Linked DNA regions of Styela clava. The protein of the gene in region 1 purifies or fractionates together with the protein of each later gene. This does not show direct contact. Links are inferred from orthologs where the notes say so. Each region holds a gene or a part of one and is shown in the gene's direction. Other genes may lie near its edges.

Region 1 (7,728 bases):
CCATTTGACAACATATGGTCAACCATCGTACTTTCTGGATTTATTTGAAATTGAATATGAATAATAAAATCTGGCAACCTCAAGCACAAAATACTAAAACCAGGCACTTGTGAAATTTCAGGCACTTCGTAAAAACCTATTTCTCGATGTTTTTACTTACTTTGAAGCAGAAAACTAAAATATACACTCTTTTGTATGATTGAAATGACGTCTTTTTGGTAAAAAACAAGAACGATTGGAAATGGTGATGAGGGGTCAAATTTCGCAAGTGCCTGATTTTTCATTTTTTTCGATAACAGTTGCCATATATTTTCGCAACAATTTTTCTAGATTATTTGCGTCAACACTTACTATTCTTTGCTTTCTAACGCAAATTCATTGTTCCACATCAATTTGAGCGTTTTTAATATTGCAATGAGCAATACCATTTGACAACATATGGTCAACCATCGTACTTTCTGGATTTATTTGAAATTGAATATGAATGATAAAATCTGGCAACCTCAAGCACAAAATACTAAAACCAGGCACTTGTGAAATTTCAGGCACTTCGTAAAAACCTATTTCTCGATGTTTATATTTACTTTGAAGCAGAAAACTAAAATATACACTTTTTTGTATGATTGAAATGACGTTTTTTTTGGTAAAAAAGAAAAACGATTGGGACTTGTGATGAGGGGTCAAATTTCGCAAGTGCCTGATTTTTCATTTTTTTCGATTACAGTTGCCACATATTTTTGCAATACTTTTCATAAAATCTTTTTCGTCAGAACTTACTAATCATTGCTTTTTAAAGGAAATTCCTAGTTCTACAACAATTTCAGCGTTTTTAATATTGCAATGAGCAATAGCATTTGACAACATATAGATAACCATCGTACTTTTTGGATTTATTTGAAATTGAATAGGAATGATAAAATCTGGCAACCGCAAGCACAAAATACTAAAATCAGGCACTTGTGAAATTTCAGGCACTTTGTAAAAAACCATTTCCCGATGTTTTTGATTACTTTAAAGCCGAAAATCCAAATATACATATTTTGTATGACTGAATTTGGTATTTTTATTGTTCAAAACAAGAAGAACTGTCACTGGTAAAAATGTGGCAAATTTAGCAAGTGCCTGATTTTTTGGTTTTGTCAATGATAGTTGCCATATCTCTATAATTTTTGTCTTTTTTTTATATGTTGTTTCCCTATTGCATTATTTTATAAAAGTCAATGTTTGTATGAGAGCTCCACTTAGCATAAATGGAATTAAACTTTTAACATCAGTATCTACATCCGGAAATCGGTATTTAATTAAACCAATCACGCTTTTGCAAAACTATTTGAATATTGTAAAGTTTGAATGACATTGTGTTGTTTATTTTTTTTAAATTCAAAAGTATGACATATGTATTATTTAAATACGGGTTTAAATTTGACAGATCTGTAAAGAATATTAGTTATTCAGACGACATCTTTATAGTAATGTTCGGAACCCTTGAAATTGGTTCAAAACTTCTACTAATTTGTTATAAACATTTCGACGTAATATATTACCCAGGTAGCAACAATCGCATTGTTATAAAGAACCTAATTTGTCTTCTGGCAATATTAGTTCGAAATTCCAGTTTTAATTGTTATCGGACGACGATTTTAATAATGTAATTTTGGCCTATGACTTCATATAAACTACATAACAGAAACAATTGACTTATGTCGTATAGAATTTTTTATAATACGTATCCAAGTTACATTATCCCCTAATAGAACATAATTTACCGTTCACAAAATGTATAAAAGCCTGTGCAAAATCCATATTGACAACCAGCGGTGTTCAACCACGGCTACAATAAAGATATTCAATCACTTGCTGTTGCTGTTGTATAATATTCTTTACAACCTGAAGATCTGACTGTAATATCTTTTCATGGATAGTTTATGGAATGGATTTCATGGATAGTTTACGTAGAATTATTTGTACATTATTTCATGCTGTAACAGCTAACTGTAAAACACGTAGTTCCTAAATAAGAAGAATGGCTACAGGATTGTAAATACGAGATGGCAATGTCACCTAAACAAAATTCACTCGGCGAATGACATCAGGTAGCTGATATGCCCAAAGTTAGGCTTAAAAGCATCGTTAAACGAATGTTACAATAAAAATCCTTCAATATTCAACACGCCAGTAGTCAGTCAACGAATTTTTTTGCGTTATTCAAAAAGTTACAAATATATAAAAACGTAAAACAGTTTTTGTTTTTAATGTCACAGAAGCCGTATTAATCTCTCGATTATAGATCTTTCTTCATCAGTAATTGGGGATATAAATTTGAATTTAAATTTATTGAGGAGATAAAACATTAAAAACACAACTTCACAAAGGAAGTGTATGAGTGAACACTAATCGAAGCTTTCAGATTAAAAATTATTAGAAATATTGAGTATCCAATGAAAATCCTTACTATTTGTTCTATTTTGACATGATATGATTTACGTATCTTGCAATTAGGTAAAACCACAGATCTAAGAATTGAAAAAAAAGAAAAAGAATTTTAAATGTCAGTTCTGAAATTGAACATGAAAAGGTTTTGTGTATATTTTGCTACTTTTATATGTCGGGCGTATAGTTTCTTCATGTCGCGAAAGAGCATCAGAACAGGTTGTGCAGAAAATGGTGCTGCCGTAGTATGTGCACAAAGTTGGCACATAACCCGAACATAGTATGTGTACCAAGATAGAGGTAATAGGTTGTGCGCCATCTTGGAGCACATAGGCTACTACGGGAGCGCCCTGAAAATACCCACATTTGCAACACCGACTTACCGAATACAAATTTTACACTTCCACAATTTCGCTTTTGATACTTTCTCACATGTATCATGATACCAACGCTTGCAAACGAAGCATTGATATTGTACGTGCTCCCGTATACATTTCGCACTTTAACAGACACTCCAATTATTATTTTCCAGAAAGCAAAATTCATGCATCGGAATGTCAGAGTATATGAGTGGCGACGATGCAGTGCGACAACGTTCCAAATGTGATTGAATTTTTGTTGACTCCGACTTGTTCAATCTTCCATCTGGGCGTTTTGAAGAGGTATGTACTCACTTCCAATATAAATACTTGCACCACCTTCGGGCAGACGTCGAATTGAAATTAGCGATAAGAATAGCACTCAATATACATCGGATTGCCTAAAAAAACATTTTACCGAGAAAGCAAAGTATAGTAAGTACTAAGTTCTGACGAAAATGATTTTATGAAATATATTGCAAAAATATATGGCAACTGTAATCGAAAAAAATGAAAAATCAGGCACTTGCGAAATTTGACCCCTCATCACAAGTCCCAATCGTTTTTCTTTTTTACCAAAAAAGACGTCATTTCAATCATACAAAAGAGTGTATATTTTAGTTTTCTGCTTCAAAGTAAGTATGAACATCGAGAAATAGGTTTTTACAAAGTGCCTGAAATTTCACAAGTGCCTGGTTTTAGTATTTTGTGCTTGCTGTTGCCAGATTTTATCATTCCTATTCAATTTCAAATAAATCCAAAAAGTACGATGTTTATCTATATGTTGTCAAATAATATTGCTCATTGTAAAAACGCTAAAATTGTTGTAGAACTAGGAATTTATTTTAAAAAGCAATGATTAGTAAGTTCTAACTCAAATAATTTAGAAAAATTGTTGCGAAAATATATGGCACCTGTTATCGAAAAAAATGAAAAATCAGGCACTTGCGAAATTTGACCCCTCATCACCAGTCCCAATCGTTTTTGTTTTTTACCAAAAAGACGTCATTTCAATCATAAAAAAGAGTGTATATTTTAGTTTTCTGCTTCAAAGTGTATAAAAACACCGAGAAATATGTTTTTACGAAGTGCCTGAAATTTCACAAGACCACTGTGAAGCTAGCAGCATTTTCAGCCAGAATATTTTTACATATTGAATATAGTTTCCACGCGCATATAATGTTCACTTATAGTTACATATAAAGATTGAAAGATTGCACAAGTGCCTGGTTTTAGTATTTTGTGCTTGAGGTTGCCAGATTTTATTATTCATATTCAATTTCAAATAAATCCAGAAAGTGCGATGGTTGACCATATGTTGTCAAATGGTATTGCTCATTGCAATATTAAAAACGCTCAAATTGTTGTGGAACAGTGAATTTGCGTTAGAAAGCAAAGAATAGTAAGTGCTGACGCAAATAATTTAGGAAAATAATTGCGAAAAAATATGGCAACTGTCACCGAGAAAAATGAAAAATCAGGCACTTGCGAAATATGACACGCCTCCATCAGTCACAAACGGTATTGTATTTTACCAAGAAGTTGTAAATTCAACCATACAAAGTGTTTATATTCAATTTTCTGCTTTAGAGTAATCAGATACATTGTAAAATAGGTTTTGACCAAGTGCCTGAAATTTCACAAGTGCCTGATTTCTATATTTTGTAATCAATGTTGCCACATTTTACTATTGAAAAATTATTTATACCCTAATAAATTGGAAATAATATTGTTTTATTGCAATATAGGGATGCAAAAATTATTTAAAGTCCAATTATCTTGTCAGGTAAATTGGAAATCCCAATGACGTACGGTAAAAATAAAAAAATATCAAAGTGCCTAAAATGGTGCCTGAAAAAGTGCCTGAATTCGCGAGTGCCTGGTTTTAGGGAGACCCGGTTATTGTTTACCATCATCTAAAGCCCATGAATTTTATTGTTCAAATGAGTGGTCGTAATACTTACTAAATACAGCGCGAAACAGCGCAGAAGAGAGGGAAACATTTTTCTTTCATTATTTATAAGCGTCCGTAAAATTTTAAACAATTTGATGGGAAACAGTATACAGTTGTAGGGAATGATCCGAGTTTATATCAGTAATCTTCAATGTCTTTAAATAACCTAACAATACAGCAATGCGATTTTCTCTGAATTATATATTGAATTTGTTAAAGTACAGTACTCTCTATTTGGCAGACCAGCTTTTCTAATAATCATTTTCAATGCGAACGTTAATCACATCAGCAAATAGGATTGGAGTTGAGTTCGATGATCGCATGGTCGTGACTCGTATCACTCCCTCCCGTCCATATCAAAGCAATTTTTATTTTATTTTCGTTACATTTTTTTTCGTATTGATGACTGTTTGTATCTTGGTTGACAAAGTACCAAATATCTCTCTCTTTTTTATACGGAACCAGGTTCTGTGGATAAAAAAAGGGTTCTGTGGATGTGATCACCATTGTACTTGATTAAAGTGTAGTAATACAATTTTACACATGCCCTATACAACTATACAATAAATCTGATGTAAAGTATTGAAGAGTAGAAATATTTTTTTATCAGCCGACTCATTTTATGTCTTTATTTTATAATTTCATATTTTTTTAATCCATACTGACAGTTCGACCACAGCGTAAAAAAAATGGTCGGAGCCTGCATACTGACCAACACGAATCAATGTTTAAATATTCACTGTACTGTATTTCTATAAAAATCTGTACCTATTGTCCTTTCTTAACATTGTTTTGTGGAAATAAAATCTCTCTCTCTCTCTACCGTTATTATACCTAGTGAAAGAGGGGTTTGTACTGTTATAATTGTGTTTTAATGTGGGGGCTATTTTTGCAATGGGAAACGGTCCCTTCACATGTTCTGTGTCAAATTTAGTATTTCAATTGGCATATTTTATGATAACAAATATAATGAAATAAACATATATAATCAATTGCACAGGGGTTGCTTAAGCTTCTGGAATGTTTCATTGGGTTCTGCCCCTACCAAGAGGTTGAAACCCAATGGTTTATCAGGTTGTATAATTATTATTCTGTAATATATTTGAAATAATCTTTTCAAAGATGATGACCAACTTTTGATCGATATATTCATGATGATGCATGAGACAATCAGGTTAATCTTTAGTCTGTCAACCTCTTTAATATTTCGATATTGTTTGAACTAACATTAAATTTCATTTTTCCAGCTTTAAGTCATAAACAAGTAAAATGAATATAAGTTTGCAAGGTGGCGATCACCAGATTCCTAGCTCCGGATTAGGTAGCCATCCTAATAATGATCGTATGAATTTTTCACATGATTTTTTCCAACAGCCTGCCACAATGGAGACACAGCAAATGAACATTGAAAAATCTGAACCTCCTGTGTGCACTTCTACTGGGATATATTTATTAAAAGATCAGGTTGAGCCATCAGTTGTATCGGGAAGCACAAATCTTCTAGCACATTACAATTTAGAAACAACATATAACAAATTTTGCGGCGGAAAGAAAGTAAAAGAAAATTTAAGTTCATTTCTTCCGGATTTGCCTGGGTTTATTGACACACTTGCAATACAAGACAATAGTAGTTTAAAAGCGTTGATCGATCGACCCCCTGTTGGTAATAAAGAAATTCAACCACTATCACAGCCTTTATTATCAAGTTTCCGTTTGCATCCTGGGCCTTTGCCTGATCATTATCGTTCCTTATATCAATCAATTGACTCAACACGACGAAAAAGCAAGCATCATAAAAAACGTAGGTCAGACCCAATGCAAAATACTCATATTAATGAAGGAGAAGAATTTGAGCCCAGAAAGCATAAAAAGAAAAAACATGAAGATGGTGAAAAGAAAAAGAAGAAAAAAGAAAAGAAAAAGAAGAGGGAAAGAGATAAAGAAAGAACCTGATTTGCAGGACACACAAGAATATTTTTTGCCATCAAGTTCAATCATTCAAAAAAACTTGAGGGCGAAGTGAATCACCCATTTGGGACTAGCGATTCAAACCGGCAGATAGTTCTTGTTAAAATTGCAGATGGAATTTCAGGGCAATCAATCATATATTATTTGAATAAAACTTGCTGTCCCATTGATTCATCTTCGTCAATAAACTTGAACAAGAAAGAGCTATTTATAATAAGATGCGAAATGATAATCTCTTCTCAAATTATAGTCTTACTTTATGTTTGAATATCTTGGCCCTTTGATATTTCAATTGTACTGTTTTGGTCATAATTCTAGTCAAGAGGATTGTATGTACAGGTCTATATGCATCAAATCATATGTCGCTAATGGATTATGACGGGGGCTCTTTCATCTTATCAGCAAATATGCTGTAAAAACGGAATTTACTGTGATAATATTGATAACAGTTTTGCTGTAAATTTCATGTCATTTGCTTGAGATCCTGATTGATCAAATTTGGAATAGTATTTATATTCTATTTCAGAATATTACAGTTTATCTTTTCACTATATCTTAGGCCTTATTTTTAAATTATGTCCATCTTTTTTGTATTTTCTTTTTTAGATACTAAACAGCTCTATTGTTAGAATGAATTATGATTCCTCCCATGATATCAGTCGTAGACTTTCTAAGGAATTATCAACAGACTTAAATAGGAATTCTCAAGCAATATTGGAAATACTGAAAGATCTTTTGAGAATGTGTGATGGTGAATTACTTGAGTCTACACGTGTGTTGAATTCGGTTATACAGCTGACTCAAGTTAAAGATGTACGGGTGAAAAAGATTGTATATTTGTACCTTTCATTTGTTGGGGAACATGATTCAGAAATTTGGTTGCACATCACAAACTCTATATCAAATGACTTGTTGGATCCTAATCCATTTGTCAGAAAAGCTGCTATTCTTATTCTGACTGATTCCCATTCAATATCGTCTTTACTTAATGAGACGAGAATGAATAGCATTACTAAT
Region 2 (5,589 bases), on another chromosome or scaffold:
GGTTTCAGTAGATGAAATAACATGAACTTTATGTTCTTGTGTATAACTGTATGTCATAGTTATATTATTTTCATTAATTTCTTTTTTTGCCAAATTTCAGTATGCTGACTTTCAAATGTGTCATTCCTTATAGTGTTTTTATATGTAGTGTTGAGAATAGAGAAAATAAGTTTTGCTTTCTTCATCTTGAATTTCATTGCATTTATTTGTAATTCATCAGTAATCATCCAATAAGAGCAAATAAGTGCTGTTGTTTCGTCGTTATATTCGGTATGTTTTATTTTTATTTCGCTTTTTGGTACTGCATTAGTATACATATTGTTACATTTAATTATTTTTCAATAACAAATTCAATATTATTGTTTTGCCTTATGCGGACGTTGAACTGTGTATAATTTTTGATTTCACCTTTATAATGTTACATGAATATGCGATTGAAATATTTTGCAAATTTGAATAGTGCAATATTGAGATTTTATATAAAGAGGTATTCCTTAGTCCGTACCCTCCATTTTCCTTGTTTTCAATGGCTCTATTGAATTTGACTTGAAAATATAATTATCTTGAATTTTAATTAGCCTCAGGTTGGTGTTTATTGTATGTAAATATATGCTTTCTATCACTGCTTTGTACAATTTTCATTATCTCATCAATCATGCAATGAGCTTTATTTTAATATTCAGATTTATCACCAATTCCTAGTTTGAGCTTTATTAAAAATCTAAAAATGGCTGAACTCGATATCGTTGTCTATGAGGCAAAATTGTCTGAGCAAATGGAAAGATTTGATGATATGGTGAAATGCATGAAGAAAGTTGCTGAAGTTGGTCGCCCTCTCACTGTTGAAGAAAGAAATCTTCTCTCTGTTGCTTACAAGAATGTTATTGGTGCTAGAAGAGCTTCTTGGAGAATACTTTCCAGCATAGAGTCAAAGTTAAAAGACAGTGAAACTGTCGACAATGAAAAGTTATCCATTCTGCAAGAATATCGTAGTGTTATAGAAGAGGAATTGAGCAGCACTTGTCGTGAAATAATGGATCTAATTGATGAGCATTTATTTCCGAATTCAGCAGATGATGAGTCTAAAGTATTCTATCTGAAGATGAAAGGAGATTATCAGAGGTATATCGCTGAATATCAATCGGGAGATAACAGAGGGAAAGCTGCAGAAAAAAGCTTGAAGGCATATGACGAAGCTAGAGAATTGGCAAAGAAAAGTTTGCGTTCCACGGATCCTATTCGCTTAGGACTGGCTCTCAACTTCTCTGTTTTCTACTATGAGATCCTAAATCAGCCCACAGAGGCATGCGAACTCGCAAGAACAGCTTTTGATAGTGCGATTGCAGAATTGGACACCTTGAGTGAGGCATCGTACAAGGATTCAACACTGATCATGCAGCTACTGAGGGACAACTTGACCCTTTGGACATCGGATATGGCGGGAGATGACGCATGTGATCAAACAGAAGATGTCGTCTTGCAGGACGTGGAATCCAATGATGCCAAAGATTAAGAATTTTTTGAATATGTATAAGCATCTACAGTAACAATTGAATGAATAGTATAAAACTGACTGACTGGATAATTGGAATTTGCAAAATGTAACTTTAGTATGTAATATTGTGACTTGATCAACTTGTTATGTATGGCAACCGTCATTTGCACATCTCAATATCTAAATTAGCACTGAAAATAATTGTTTGGTTTGTAATGAAGTAGCCAGTTAGCAATCCCACAGCTTATAGAAAATAGATAGGCTAATAAAGAAACAATGAAAACATGTTAATAATATAAAGAACTTGACAATATGCTTGGAATATTTAGTTGATGTCTGTATTGCTGAATACTTGGTTTCAATTCAATGCTATTTCATTTTTTTTAATAAATATGTTCAATGTAATTTTTTACATGTAAAATGTCATTTTTAAAACTATGAATGATTCTATTTGGATATTTCGATGTTATATGACACTATTGAGGACTTTCCAATGTGACATTCACTGACTAATCGTAACATATGTGAGTATACTTTCCAAAAATCGTTGACCAAACTTACCCTTCTCTTTGAGAGATTTTTTCCGCCTAGTGATGAAATTAGTCTTTATATTTTTGTTCAATAAGACTATTGTACTAAACTTCAAAAATTTGTCATACGTTTCCACTATGGTTACTACTGATGTATAGTAAATATTTGAAAAGACGGAATCAGCAAAGTATCAGTTTTTGTTAAACTGCTTGGATACCATGCCATATAGGATATAGCAGGGATAGCCAACATGTTTTCTACCGCGATCGACTAAAATATTCAAAATAGCTCGCGATCGACTGATCGGTAATAATGTCACACACAAAAACAAATGCAGATAATTGTACACATGCATACAAAAAATTCCGCTCTCGCCAATAAGTTGCGCATGTACAGTGCTTTATTCATCCCGTTTTAAAACACACAATAGGCACTGCATGAAACTGGTACAAGTAAATTCATGTCATCATAAATTTTTTCCATGATTATTACTTGATTCGTAATAAATTTGATATTTCAATTTTAAATGATCTCTGGAAATTATCCAGTACAGGATATTAGGTAGCTGTTTTATACTTGTAACAATTTTGATGTTTGGTAGATGTTTTTTGAAAGCCCAATACAAAGTAATGGTAGTTTTACATCTGTACCTGACATTATTATTTGATGTATCGTTTTGCTGCTTCAGTTTCGTAGCTTGCTTTTGTGGATTTGCTTATACACAGTGAAAAAAAAGCCAAAAAAAATTATCCCAACTGTAATTTGTTCAGTTTTCTATAAAGGAACGATTACCATATTTACATCCTAAGAAATGTGATCGCTATTATGTTCTTGTATATTGTCAAATTTTTGAAAGGAATTCCAATTTCTTGTGGGAAATTTTGTACTGCAACATTAGTTCATTTTTTATTGAATTTCTTAAATTGCTATCAATTCTTAGAGAAAGTGTTGAAAATGGCATAATACCAAATATCATTGTATCATAATAGGACATTATATGCTTGCTGAATTCTGTTTTTGTTCCTGATTTTATATGTTAATTTGAGTCACGATATGAGATCTTCACTAACTACTATAGTTCTGTAATTTGAAAAGTTCTTTAATTTTTAAATATATTCCACTTTCTAACATAATTGATGTTCATTCCAATTAATGTCAGTACAAGGAAAACAAGTCATTGTATTAAACCACTCCTAATAATGTATGTTAAATTCACAGAAGTAATCGGTGAATGTTGGCGAATATAACTTCTATTTCTTTCAAATCCCTCTGCTAGAATACTCAGTAATGCCACTATAATATCTTTTAATGATTGTCTTGGGGTTTTTTCAATTATTAGAATAGCAAATATAACGACCGATACTACACTCCCGTGGGTCTTGGAATTCAACAATTTTTTCATTGAAATTTTCTCCATCTACAACAGCAGATAGACTACCCTTATTAATGGCTCCTGAGCTCATTTTTGAGTAATAATGCGTCAACATAATTCCGTCTGAACCCCAGGGAATGAAGGCTGTTCATCTTATTGTATTTTTGCAAATCTTAAAAGTTATAAGTGCTCGTGTACGAGTATAGCCAATGTTGATTGGGTTATGAATTTTATCATTACACTGCAGTTATTAAAAAGATCGATAGTACCTTGTTTTGACAATATGAGCTTTTATTCATGTTAGTGTTCTTTATTGTTTGGAGCAGCATCTAACATTTCACCTGACAATTTCATGACTTAATATTATTAATGACCCATGCCTAGTTGATTAAGTATACCCATAATAGAAGAATATTTAAATTTTGACCAAAAAATGCATATATAAAGATTTGCATTACTTATTAGAGCAAGAAAAGCATTTTATATCAGAATCTTCAATTGAAATTGTTATAAGTTAGTTGTTATAAAATAGTTAACATTTGGTTATAAGCTCTTTCTTCTCGTTATACAGATTGAATAATGAAAATGAAATCTATTCTGGGTATGCTTTATCTTCCAGTAGTTAGTTAACTTGTAAAATTTTGATTGTTTTCAATGTTTTTGTTATTGATGTCAGTAGTGAAATAGAAACTTTACATTACAGATTTCTAGCAGTAATTTATAAATAGTTTATTGTACTTGGATCCTGAGAAAATGTCTGATCATGAGGATGATGGTTTTGATGAAGGATTTGATGATGAAGGAGAAGGGATGGAGGATGTGGAAGATGCTAATGATGATAATCAAGAAGAAGGAGGTGTTGGGATTCTAGATGCCCATGAAGCAGGCCCTATAAGTCCTGCGAATCGTATTACTTCACCTTATATGACGAAATATGAACGTGCCCGTGTGTTGGGAACCAGGGCGCTACAAATATCAATGAATGCTCCTGTGATGGTAGAATTAGAAGGAGAAACTGACCCTCTACAAATCGCAATGAAAGAACTAAAAGCAAAAAAGATTCCTATTATTGTTCGAAGATATTTACCGGATGGTAGTTATGAGGACTGGGGTATTGAAGAGTTGATAATTGAGTAACTTGGACTTTACGAGACCGTATGGATTACTACGTTTGTTTGAGTAAAGCTATAGCTACTATGCATGTTCAAATCGAACTAGGATATTGACGAAGTGCGGCTGGCTTCCAAACTGTCATCTACTGGTGGACGACTTGAAATCTATTAAAATAATTATACTATTCCATGGTCTAGTAAATGTCTTGATTTTAAATTGGTTTTTAAACATTATTTAATAGGTCATTATCGGGGTCAAAAAAATTTCTAACCACAATTGAAAAATGAGCGTTTACCTGCTGGTTTCAGAAGTTTAGGTGAGCTGTATGACACAGAACAATACTCTTATTTCTACATTGTGTGTTGCCAGACAAAATTAATGTCACAATTATGTGTATTCAAATTTTGTTTGAAATTATGATACTGCATACATTTTTTATTATCTTAAAACTGCCATCATTTTTTAGAATCTATATTGAGTATTCCTAAATGATATTCTATATATTACTGGGTAATTGATTCTTGATATCAAAATGAAAGTTTTGAATGTAGCTGTTATTGGAGCAGGGGCTGCTGGTGAGTTTTCAGATTATTTATGTTTGTGTGTTAGTGTGTATCCATTTTCTATATATAAAAAAAAAAGTTTTATAAAGCTGAAGGATTAAATATGAAGACTCAGAATAGTTTAGAATTTAAGTCTGTCTTGTGAATAATTTTGTTAGATAAATTTAGATACGGTATATGAATCATTGTGTTCTATGAAAATGGGAATTCACAGAATCACAGAAAATCATCACTTTTTCCTATGAGTAATAATTTTGAATATCATCACACTAATTTCTTCCTAATCCAAATAACTCTTGTATCATCTGTTCAAATGGCATTCAAATAAAAAAAATTAGGTAGAAAATATTACACCTGAATGGGATTTCTTGATCAAAGTGCTGGATGGTATATATTTCTATCACCTCTATAAATCTGCAGACACAATAGACATAATGTCATCGAAATTTTGTGACTCATTTCCATACACATGAAAATACTTATCATGAAAATGAGCTGTTTGTGTCCATATGTCA

What was found.
Region 2: the proteins of mediator of RNA polymerase II transcription subunit 19-like (region 1) and DNA-directed RNA polymerases I, II, and III subunit RPABC2-like purify together in Homo sapiens (affinity purification with mass spectrometry; 3 studies listed by BioGRID and IntAct, with this or other methods). This does not show direct contact. The link is inferred for Styela clava from reciprocal best matches to the Homo sapiens genes MED19 and POLR2F.

Annotation. Positions count from the first base shown.
Region 1 is NC_135257.1:12,132,846-12,140,573, forward strand, and holds mediator of RNA polymerase II transcription subunit 19-like, read left to right. Parts: upstream 1-4,693; 5' UTR 4,694-6,012; coding exon 6,013-6,696; 3' UTR 6,697-7,318; downstream 7,319-7,728. Other genes in the region: AP-4 complex subunit beta-1-like, read left to right, coding at 7,342-7,728. UniProt on the Homo sapiens protein: Component of the Mediator complex, a coactivator involved in the regulated transcription of nearly all RNA polymerase II-dependent genes.
Region 2 is NC_135263.1:9,242,180-9,247,768, forward strand, and holds DNA-directed RNA polymerases I, II, and III subunit RPABC2-like, read left to right. Parts: upstream 1-4,140; 5' UTR 4,141-4,151; coding exon 4,152-4,535; 3' UTR 4,536-4,979; downstream 4,980-5,589. Other genes in the region: 14-3-3 protein zeta-like, read left to right, coding at 728-1,513; uncharacterized protein LOC120340860, read left to right, coding at 5,044-5,086. UniProt on the Homo sapiens protein: DNA-dependent RNA polymerase catalyzes the transcription of DNA into RNA using the four ribonucleoside triphosphates as substrates.